Arabidopsis thaliana: one gene and its partners. The protein of the gene in region 1 interacts with the protein of each later gene in a pairwise test. Each region holds a gene or a part of one and is shown on either strand. Other genes may lie near its edges.

What was found.
Region 2: the proteins of AT3G29270 (region 1) and AT3G13175 interact in a two-hybrid assay, tested with the Arabidopsis thaliana proteins (2 studies listed by BioGRID, with this or other methods).
Region 3: the proteins of AT3G29270 (region 1) and PIP1;5 interact in a two-hybrid assay, tested with the Arabidopsis thaliana proteins (2 studies listed by BioGRID, with this or other methods).

Annotation. Positions count from the first base shown.
Region 1 is NC_003074.8:11,232,218-11,237,012, reverse strand, and holds AT3G29270 (RING/U-box superfamily protein), read right to left. Parts: upstream 2,841-4,795; 5' UTR 2,673-2,840; exon of another isoform or gene 1,776-2,672; 5' UTR 1,688-1,775; coding exon 896-1,687; 3' UTR 555-895; downstream 1-554. Other genes in the region: AT3G29280 (uncharacterized protein), read left to right, coding at 1-149, 241-308.
Region 2 is NC_003074.8:4,234,559-4,237,561, forward strand, and holds AT3G13175 (uncharacterized protein), read right to left. Parts: upstream 1,257-3,003; 5' UTR 1,023-1,256; coding exon 702-1,022; 3' UTR 517-701; downstream 1-516. Other genes in the region: AT3G13180 (NOL1/NOP2/sun family protein / antitermination NusB domain-containing protein), read right to left, coding at 1,768-1,899, 1,972-2,068, 2,178-2,263, 2,371-2,442, 2,525-2,643, 2,775-2,882.
Region 3 is NC_003075.7:12,218,826-12,223,112, reverse strand, and holds PIP1;5 (plasma membrane intrinsic protein 1;5), read right to left. Parts: upstream 2,473-4,287; 5' UTR 2,322-2,472; coding exon 1,991-2,321; intron 1,718-1,990; coding exon 1,422-1,717; intron 1,328-1,421; coding exon 1,187-1,327; intron 1,054-1,186; coding exon 958-1,053; 3' UTR 645-957; downstream 1-644. Other genes in the region: AT4G23390 (NEP-interacting protein, putative (DUF239)), read left to right, coding at 3,426-3,584, 3,723-3,809, 3,889-4,116, 4,226-4,287. UniProt on the Arabidopsis thaliana protein: Aquaporins facilitate the transport of water and small neutral solutes across cell membranes.

The DNA of each region.
Region 1 (4,795 bases):
GGAGGAAGATGTGATAGGATTAGTCGAAGAAAAACACGGGAAGAAGAAAGTATCGGTTTCGTTCGAGTGTGAGACATTGAAGGCAGATGAAGCAGCAGAGGACCATATCAGACAGTTTATGCCCAAATTAGCTGGACTTGATGCTGTTAGTAAGTAAAACCAACACTTTATTCTTGTGCCATTCTCATTACATTTATGTTGTCTTGTTTTGTTGAATCAACACACCGGGGTTTTTGCCAGTTAACATTGGACCGATGAAGATTTCCGGGCTTGATTTTGCTGCGGTGGAAGAGGGACACATAAACTAAGACAGCTTAACTCTTTCTTTTTGTGTATACATCATATTTGAATGCTCTTTGAGTCTTTGTTTCATATCGTAGAACACAATTAACGCTTTAAGCTCAAATGATCTAGACTAGAACTCATAGAAAACATAAAAGAGAAATAACCGAACCGAAACCAAACCGAAAAGCCGTACACCCACCCCTAATTTTGGGTGTCATCTTTTGCTTTCTTCTATGGAAATGGGTGGAACAAACAAACAAAAGAAAAAAAAACCCATACAATTTAGTCATTATATATAAGAAAAATCAATGCATTTAGTTACGCAATTCCTAAATAACATTGCATAAACTTTATATACATAAATCTTATTGAGACACTCAAACACTCACAAACAAATCCACAAATACTAATAAGTTTCTGCAAGAGCCCTTACAACACATACGTCCAGCTTCGTAGAGCAACAATGCAATCCAAAACTACATCCATATATAGATAAAGAAGACGGTAATTACGAAATTGTTATACTTACATGACCGATCTTGGGTCTCAGTTGTTGAAGAAAAGTCGTCAAATTAGGAATGGGAAGTTTCTGAACGCATCCTTAGAAAGTTCATGTGACAATCTCTCGAACAAGCCAGTCGAGACAAGGATAAGCGAAGTAGAGGATGAGAAACGACGGTAGAGCCAGCAAGAGAGTGACTAGAATGTACATCGCCAATATGGCTGCACTGGTCGGTATTGCATAGAGTATTATCAGCAGAAATATGACAACTAATGGGAACTTTGCTGTCAACTGGACAAAGAAAACCAGAGACTTCCTCAGTGAAGTTTGTATGTTGTCCCTTGGAATGCGATGATCATTAACAGAACGTGATGGTTCAGGTTGACTGCGATGATGGCGATTGTGGAGACATGGAGATGGAGTTTCCCTTGTATGATCATTGTTTCCATCTGTTTGAGCTCCACCAGGTGAGTTACGTCTCTCTCCATTCATCCTCTCGACCATCCAAAGCACAAAGTAGTTCTTGTGAGGGAATCTGAGTGTTCCTCTGAAGACCAGACGGAAAGACAAAAGGTTGCACCAGGGGCATGAAATGAAGAGAGGAAGCTGAACCGGGTGAGTAGGCAATTTCACAATAGCCCATTGAAGTCCCAAAATGCAGTTTTTACACATCGTATGTCCACACCATAACACATACGGAACGTTTTCAACTATATTAAATGATTCCCAGCATATAGGACACTCGAGACCTTCGTCTTTACTACCTACAGAAGATACATCGTCATCTGAACACTCCGCATGAGCATGGACCGGTCTTCTGATATCGTTTTTCGGTCCAATGTTTCCCGTAAGATAACTCGATGCTAGATTCCACATTCTAGTATCAGGGATGGATAACATGAATACCTTGTTTGTCACTAAGACCTAACCAGTTCTGCTAATACTTAACTCTCTGACCTTCATGAACACCGAACTCGATGCTTCATCGCTTCATAAGCAAAGAGAAAACACATATTAATCCTTCAAAGACAATCCCAACGACACACCGATGCAATTCCAACTAAGAATCAACTAATAAGATTAAGTGCTACATTGAGCAACCATGGTAACACAAATCATTAAGAACCTACTATACAGCAAGATTCAATTTTTATGATCAGAATCGATATTCGAACGCTTTAACTTGTATTAGAGCTCAAAGCTCGACAATTTCATCGATAAAGGGGACTCTTTTATCTTTGAGCCAAGTTTACTCACCGATGCAATTCTAACTAAGAATCAACTAAGATTAAGTGCTACATTGAGCAACCATGGCAACACAAATGATTAAGCAACTACTATATAGCAAGATTCAATTTTTATGATCAGAATCGATTATTCGAACGCTTTAACTTGTATTAGAGCTCAAAGCTCGATCATTTCAGCGATAAAGGGGACTCTTTTATCTTTGAGCTAAATTTACTCACAGATGCAATTCTATATCAGTAGCAACCAACTAATAAGACCAAGATTTAGTGATACATTAAGCAACCATAGCAACACAAATGATTAAGAAAACCCTAAATAGAAAGTTTCAATTTTTATACTCAGAATCGAAATCAGACTCTCAGACTTGTATTAGACCTAAAGCTCAATCATTTTCAGCAATAAAGATGATTCCTTTATCTCAAAGGTTATGACTTTATCCGATACAGAAGATCCCAATATAAGATTAAAGGAAGAAAGAGAAAACCCTAAAATCAAAATCACTAAATGAGATAATTGATCACAGAATTAAGCAGCTAACGAAGTAATCGAACCTAGATAGATAATTGAAAGGACAGAGCAATCAAATGGTTCACAATAACCGAAACTAAATCAGAGTGATTTAGATAAAGATTCGTACCGATTCGACTCTGCTCTGAGCTTTTTGTTTCGTACGTGAAAGAAGAAGATGCTTGATTCGATTTTTCCGGCGAGACCTAAACTTTCTGGGTTTTGTTTTGCTTTCATAAACGACGTCGTTTCAATCGTGTACCCAAGTTTTCCTTCCAAAAGTGTTTTTGATATTTTCTAACGTAAAAACTTGGTTAGTTGTTTTTTTATAAACATAATAACATTACCAACCAAAACATTTACGCTTATTGAAGATTAAGTAAACCTCTGAAAAAATAAAACACAGAGCGGTTAATTTTATTAATATAATTTAATAGAATTTTGTATTATAAGTTATTTATCAATTCAATTTTTTTAATATTTTAAAAAGAATAATAATAAATATATTAAAAAGAAGAAATATGAGAAAAAGAACAATCACGAAAGAAAAATAATAATAAAAGAAACTTTACGTTGTTTTTTTTTTATCTATATGAGTGTATATAGATAAAATGCAAATGGACTTAATATGTAAATATTTCTTTAATTTTTGCAACATTCTTCTCGTCCAGAGTTCATTTGTCATTTATCTCTTTGCGATATCTTTCATGTTGTCTCGTTAAAACTTTTCTAATAAAATCCATTGGTAGAAACCACAGTAAGGTAAAAAAGTATAATCATACAAGCTCTCCCTCGAATGACTATGGACATGGGGTGCAGGATGTTCGACATTTTTTCTTGTTACCATGTAATAATCATTGAATGCTTGAGACGTAAATTCACCAACGTTATCTAATCTAACTCCTTTGATTGGATAATCAGGAAACTCAGCTCTTAGTTTTGATTATCTGAGTTAGAAATCTCGCAAATACCACATTTCAAGATGATAACAAACAAACATGTGACCATCTACTAGACATGTCTATCATTACCATGAAATAATATAATGGTATACATGGTGGGTGTATAGGTTCACAAATGTCGCATTTGACTCGTTCAAGGAATTTTGGTAATTCTTTATCGATTTTGCTTGTCGATGGCCTTATAATCAATTTTCCAAGAGAAAACGTAACACATGTCCTTTTATTTTCTTGATAAAACTCTTAGGGTTTCATTGAATGTCCATGTGAGCTTTTTATAATTTTTTGCATCATCGTGGTGCCTGGGTGACCAAGGCGATCGTGCCACAATGTGAAATCATCATGATCTCTTTTGATAACAAGATGTGATCCTATTGAATTAATGTATGTATGATGCAATCCTGATGGGAGTCTTGGTAATTTTTCCAAAACGTGTCTTTTTCCCAATTTTTCAGAAGTGATATACATGTACTTTTTTTCATTCTCACTTGCACACTGAGTGTCATATCCATGAAGGTATATATCTTTGAAACTCAACAAATTTCTTTTTGAATTTGGTAAAAATAATGCATTATTTATCGAGAACTTTGTCCCGTTAAGTAATGCAAAATTTGTTTTACCGGTCCATTCAATTAAGTCTATGGGACCTGATATTGTGTTAACAATAACTTTTGTTGATTTCAAATGAGAGAATTTTTTTTTTTGTTTTAGAATAGTGTGTGTTGTTCCACTATTCGGTATGCAAATATCTCTAAGGTTTGCCTTGGATACCATTCCATTTGTAATGTGATCCATTTCTGAAATAAACATAATCGATTAAGGTAAGTAGAAAATAAATTTATTAATCAAGCATATAACACCCGATAATTATACATGATAGGTAACACAAGCACACAATAATTACACATGATAGGTAATACAAACACACAAACTTAGGAAATTTCAAGCAAGCGTCGATTTATTTATGACATATTAATTCGAGCCCCACACGATAGAAATTTCAGTTTTCCACAAGGACAACCTCATCGAGATCATTAGCAAAGTCAGAAGCATCAAGGTGGGTTGTACCCTCAGAATGTTCCGCAAGGTTCACTTCCTTTCCTTTTCCCTTAACAGATTTTTTGTACAGAGCACAAAGGTGTGCTGGAGTTCGGCATACCTGATACCGATGTGCCTTAGGGTCACATCTGAAACAAGCACTGTCACATTTTTGAAAAGTATTTGCTTGGATTTCTTTTCCTTTCGATTCATGCTCAGGACGAATCTTTTGGTATGACTTCCTGGTTTGTGGATT
Region 2 (3,003 bases), 7.0 Mb from region 1:
AATAATTAATGTGTATGGTAAACTAGATTAGAATTAGTTCTAGACTTCTAGTGGTCGAGATTTGTTCATAAGCTTTATGCTCGGACACGTGAGGAACATACCAAAATGTTCGAATCTATTATGCCATACACTTATTTTAATCATTTCTTCTCTATGATAGATTGCTCACCTAATTTATATATAATCTAAGAATATACTACTTAGCTTTAACGTATTTTATCCGATAACGAATTCATGATACCAAAAAAGTTCTAAAACAAAAGAGGCATCTTGTATTATTTATAGTATTTCTAACTAAAACACAACACTGATAACATTTAAATTGCTTTGTTCCGTTTAATTAGTAAACAAATGAAAAGCTGTCGCGTCGGTGGTTGGGTTTCATTCGGAAAGATTTAAAAGTAAAGCGCACGGATTTTAAGGTCGTTCAACATTTAAATTTTTTTTGAAAGTAAAATCATATATCAATGCAATGTGTAATCTTGTAACGTATAAACTAATGAGAGATACCTAAAGAAAAGAAGCCTCGCGCCTAAACAGAAACATAAGATTAAAATAAGTAATATAGAAGCATAAACTTAAGCAAGATTTTATTCCTCGTGAAAATATTACATTTTGTAATTTTATTTTCTCTAGTATTAAAAAAGGAACAACTAATTAACGGAAATACTTAAGGAATTAAGAACAGAGAGGTCTCATACTTAGTCAAGTTTGGTGAAGCTATCAAAGAGAATGTCTTCGTGTTGTCCGCCGACGACATAGTCAAGAATCCCTTCCGCCGCCACTTTTAAGCCTGCGCCTTCGCCTGGGATGATGGTAGACGAAACCGGGAGATCGGAGGTGCGTGCGAAGAAGAAAACGGCAGCGAGAAAGAGAGCCGTGGAGAGAAAAAGTGGCCAGAAGTAAGATAGAACGGTGAGGAAACCGGGAGAATAAGCGACGAGAGCTACGGTGAGGAGAGATAAAACAAAGGCAAACACGATTTGCAACTTGAACTTCAAAAGCTTCTCCCGGAACTCCATCTCCGATCACCGACAAAGATCTGTGAGTCTGTGACTGTTGTGTTAACACGAGAAAGATGGAGTGAAGAGAGATAGAGATATATCTAAAAGAGAGATAGTACAATGCTAACTCTCTCTCTGTCTTTCCTCTGAGTGTCTATACGTAAAGAAATAGGAAAGATTCTCTGTGACAAGGATAACGTCAAAATCTCAAGTTATTTTGTTTTTAAACGCGTTTGAAAATTATACTGTTTTTCTTCTAACGAAAATGATAATATATTTTTAAGATTTTTATGTTACTTTGTTCTGTGACTTGTATGAACATTTTTTTTTTTGTAAAGTTGTCGTAAAAGTCAAAGAATGAAACATTTTCTGACATAAATAGTAAATCGTACAAAGCTAAAATAATGATAAGAGAGATATTTTCAATTCAGTTATAATGTTGTCCGTTTTGCATGATTGAATTTTTAACTTTGGATTCAGGCCGACCAAAATATGGGCCTTTAAAAGCCCGATTTGGGTTGCTAACAGACGACTACTCTTTTGTTAGAACTTACACGAGCCGCCGTTTCTACTTTCTAGCTCTGGCAAAACGGCGAGGCATTTTCTTTAAACATATCAACATACAATTAGCAGCATCTCTACAAGTTTACACTTCTCTCATAAAACCCAACTCTACGAATAAAAGAGAAGGTGTTTTCATTTATCCTCTTCGTCTAATTGCATCCAAACTCTCAGCAGAGACAAATACAGCTTGCTTTTAACGTCACAAGGCTCGAACCAGACGAGCTGCAAATGCTCCATCTAGTGAGTGTTTCACTGGGTTTGATAAAAAGAAGCCTTGTGAGGTTACAAAACTCGACGGTACAAAACTGGTTACTGGATCTATGGTGAATTCCTGTGAAAGCAGAGAGACTATTTGTTAATATCAACATCTGAAGGAAAGCAAATGGATTATAAAGATTCTTACAGGATGTCTTAAGAGAAATGCTTCGACCCTTCCTTCATTTTCCTCGGGGTCTATGGAGCAAGTACTGTATACCAACACCCCACCGTGCTTCACCAGTCTTTGAGATTCAATCAAGAGTGTCACAGATAAAAGTATCAGATAAGTCGCATATTAGTGTTTCAGAATTAATCAAATGACTCATCAAAATGTATGTACAGAGTGCATACTTGGAGGCAGAATCAAGAAGCTCATCCTGCAGTTTAGTGAGCTCTAACATGTCCTCAAGTTTACGGTTCCAGCGCAAATCCGCTCTCTACAAAATACAGATTAATGGGAACAGGTTAATCAGATCAGGTCAATTCAACTAGCAATGTTAAATCTTGCTGGCGAAACAGTTAGATAAACTTTTCTCATGTTAACCTTGGAGAGGACGCCGAGTCCAGAACACGGGGCATCAAGCAAAACTTTGTCATATTGTACTTCATTGGTTTCCTAAAACACATTAAGTTGGAAGGAAGCATGTGAGTAGCTTACAAACTTGGAAACTTCAGATACTCAAATAATGTTAACTTACAGCAAAGACACGAAGATCAGAATGAATGGTTGTGATAAGTCCATCAACTTGGTGTGATTTTGCTGTCTCACCAAGAATTCTTAGCCGTCCTTCATTCACATCCATAGCATATATCATACCTATAATCGATTCGAGTTTGCCAGTTTGAGGATGGAATCAGTCAAGTATAGTAGAAAAGTTTCTCAAAATAGATAATTTAATTCAACATTAATGTACAATAGAGGAAAATAAGGGGTCTTTGTAATATTACCTTGGCCTTTCAAGCAAGATGCCATGAATAGGGTCTTTCCTCCAGGAGCAGCACATGCATCCATTATCCTCTCGCCTGGCTGAGGTTTCACCACTGAGACTATTAGTCCTGCAGTACCAGATGTGGGGAGATATTTAGATATCAAAAGAACAAAAGGATTTTGGATAAACTTAAATCTGTTAACAGCATGAAAAATTAATGAAGAGGAGACTGTATCTTTTCTCAGGAG
Region 3 (4,287 bases), on another chromosome or scaffold:
TAGTCTCAAAGATTATGTAGAAAGTTTAAAGATTTTCCCAAATAACAATAAACAACTCTGATATTTGTTTGATAAATGTAAACAACCCGAGTACTACATGACCAAAGGGCAAATGCAAATTACTTATTCTCTTAAAGTCAAGCTCAAGCTGAAGTCTTGCACTTTCTTGGCCCATCCATATTGCTACAACTCTTTTTTGGATGATAGTCATGTAGACTCTTTCACATTTCTTGGCCCATTAGATTCTTTCATGACTATCATCCATATTACAAGTTGCTGCATCAAACATGTGAAATATGTTATCATTCATGTGAAAGATGTTACTAAATCTGGTTCTTTTATTATTTTACTGGAACCCTACCATGTGGAACAGAACATGCATTTTCATGACTATCAACCAAAACCAAAACCAAAACCAAAACCCCGAACTGAACATCATCCAAGAATATCTATAACTGAAACTGTGATTCAAAAGTTGAAAATTCAGTTATAAGCATGTTATAAAAAGTGGAAAATGAAAGACTCTTATAGAAGAAAGAAGATGAAGAAATACTTGCGATGATGGTGTTAGACCAGTTCAGTTCGGCTTAGATGTTGTTCTATCAAATTCTACACATTTTACAATTATGTTGCTAATGTTTGGTATTGGAAACACTTATTGACAATGTTAGCAACTTAGCATACCTATGTCCAGTTCAGTTATGTCTCTGTGATATTCAAACAAGATTCTGAGCTTACACATGTACACAATGTATTCTTCCATTGACATAATTAATGTTACAAGATACAATGCCATTGATACATAATAGATTACACATTTACACTGTTACAAGATCAAAGCTCTAGTGGTACATATAGAGATCATCACACATGACATAGGAAACAAGAAGAAAGCATATAGAATTAAAGATTGATATATTCTTAGCTTGATGATGATCAGAGAATATGTAGGAAACTTTATGTCTTGGACTTGAAAGGAATAGCTCTGATGACTATCTGATGGTACAGAGCAGCAAGCGCAGCACCAATGAATGGACCGACCCAGAAGATCCACTGCAGACACATAAAACAAAAGAGACAACAGATAAGAGCAGAATTATCAAAAATTCTGAGTTGCTATTTAGATGCAATTCATAACTTATCATACTTAGCACAACCGTTGATGTAATTAAAGAGGAAAACTTACATGGTCATCCCAAGCATGATCCTTGTTGTAGATGATGGCAGCTCCGAGACTCCTGGCCGGGTTAATGCCAGTTCCAGTAATTGGGATGGTAGCCAAGTGCACCAAGAAGACAGCAAACCCAATTGGAAGCGGAGCCAAGATCTGCAAAATGTTCGATAACCAAAAAACACATGAGCTCTATGTGAAGAATATGAACTCAACACAACTCAAGGATACTAGAGAATTAGCAACATACAGGGACATGAGAGTCTCTGGCACTTCTCTTAGCATCAGTAGCTGAGAAAACAGTGTAAACCAGAACAAAAGTTCCAACAATCTCTGCACCAAGACCTGAACCCTTTGTGTAACCATGAGCCACCACATTAGCTCCACCGCCATTCGTCTGGTACAGCCCTGGTTGAAACCCTTTAACCACACCAGCACCACATATAGCTCCAAGGCACTGCATTACTATGTAGAACAGAGCTCTGGTTAAAGATAGCTTCCTCGCCAAGAACAAACCAAAAGTCACCGCCGGATTAATATGTCCTCCTGCTCATTACCAAACCAATTCGCCACACACAAGTCAAAATCAGATTATGATCTTCACACAGAAGAAACAAAGTGGGGCAAACTAACCAAAGTTTCAAACTTTAAGAAGAAAATTACTCAAAGTTTCAATCTTTAAATGTGAAATTACTTTTAAGTATCAAACTTTCTTCATTATATCCAAGTTTCTCACAACCAAGTAACCCTAATTCCAGATTCCTTCAACCTAAATTCGAAAACTTTAAACAAAATTCAGAGCAAGAACAGATCCTGAACCTGAGATTCCAGCAGTACAGTAAACAAGAGCAAAGATCATGCCACCAAAAGCCCAAGCGATGCCTTGGATTCCAACAGAGGCACACATATTGGGAGCTCTCTTAACACCCATGACTGTCAAAACGGTGACGTAGAGGAAAAGGAAAGTGGCTATGAACTCAGCTATCCCTGCTCTGTAGAAAGACCAAGATTTGAGCTCGCCGGGTTCGAAAAACGGCGCCGGTGGTGGTTCCTTATAGTCCTTGCTCTCCGTCTGAGCCGCCGTACCGATCGGCTGTCTCTCTGGGAACTTGTTGGCTCCAACATTGACGTCTTCTTCTTTGCCTTCCATGTTTCTCTCTCACTCTATCACCACCAACTTTAGTTTGTTGTCTCTGTAAATTTGATGACTGGTGTATGTGGAGGTTTTATAGTTTGGTTCATTTAGGCAAAAATAATTATTAATTAAATTTGCTACTAATTTCCAAAATCTTATATTTGTTATTCATGCAAATTTCTAAATTATCAGAAAATGTGTAAATAAATAAATATAGTTAATTACTAATTATAGAAAATAAATTAGTGAATTTAGACTAAATTAACTTAATCTGTCTAAAATTTTTGTGATAGATAATTTTAATTGCAATGGTTGATATAGAGTCGCACTCAAGTCTCTTTTGATTGATGATTTGCATTTTTTTTATTGTCAATCATAACTCGTGGTTTATAAACCTACATTTTCCATGTAAGACTTTTAATTCGTTTAATGTTTAATAACGGTTTTCTATCTAGTTAGTCTTTGAGCATAATACTTAAATTAAAAAATGTTGTTTTAAGATAAGAATTAGAGGTAGGTAGTTGAAATGGACTGGACAACTAGGCGCGAAAACGATGCATAGAAGAAGATGGACATAAGATTAAGCAACTACCATATAATTTGTTAAAACAGAATATATTACAGCTCAAATGATGTGGACAATTCTAACATAATGTTTCTATCAATTATGTGAATGATATTATAGAGGAAATTATTGGATGTCAAAAATATTATAGATGAAAGAAGACACTTCACATGGAAAATGTTCGCCTTATCGATCTCTACTGTTTATAGATCAATTCATGGTTTATTTAAGTTCCTTTGTGTCACTACTGTGTTTTTTTTTTATATTGGGCTTTGATCTAAAAACTTTTTTTGGGGTCAATTGATCCATAAACAAGCTTTTCCTTTTTCTTATGGAATATACTTTATACAAAAAAAAGTACATTAAAAAAAAGAGAAATCTTACTTTAGCATCTACATATGGGCAATAGAGATAGAGGGAGATACATTTGTCATTTACTGTGTATAGGTTCTTTGGTGGTTATAAATGATCTCAGATTTATGTGACACAATAAATATAGTTGTTCTGCTTCATTTTTTCTTTTGAAAAATATAGATTAAGATCCTTGATTCATCATGAGGTATTCCAATAAACTAATTATCTTGCTAACTTTATCAACAATAGCTCTCATTTTAGTTGGAGAGAGTCACAAAACAATACCTTCGAAAGAGGAGAAAGAAGAGATGAAGAAGCTACTTACCTATCTCAATAAACCTGCAGTCAAAAGTTTCCAAGTAAATTTAGCCTTTCTTTTCTTAAATTTTCATAAAACATTACAAAAATTGTTGACTATTGTAACAATATTACAACTATCATCAAGTTACATTTATTTTCAGACCACACCAATTTTTTCTTGCTTTTGATTTCGACAGACTGAACATGGTTATATATTTGACTGCATCGACATTCAAAAACAGCTAGCTTTTGATCATCCTTTGCTCAAGAACCATTCTATTAAGGTTTATCCTACAAACCACGAAAAAATATCTATAAATAAAATTCTTATTAATGTTTGGATGGATTGAAATATAAATGCAGTTGAAACCCACAACTATACCTAAATGGACCAAAGATAACAACGCTTCTCATAAAACTAGTTCTCTGCCATTTCGACAAGATGACATAAGTTGTCCAGTTGGGACAGTCATTGTCAAAAGAATTATACTTGAAGATCTTATACGAGCTCAACGTTTGCAATCCTTACGATTCAACTATCCAGGACAAGTGTCTGCAAAGGACAAGAAAATTGATTTAACTGGTCATCATGTAAGAATCATTTCTTATTACACGTAGTTGAATTGAGATCGCCTTGTAACTTGTCCACAATGCTTATAATATTTTTTGATTATCTATTCTTTTTCTCTTCGGATTTTAGTTTGCCACAATTAGTTACAAAGATGACCACTATGGAGCAAAAGGAAACATTAACGTATGGAA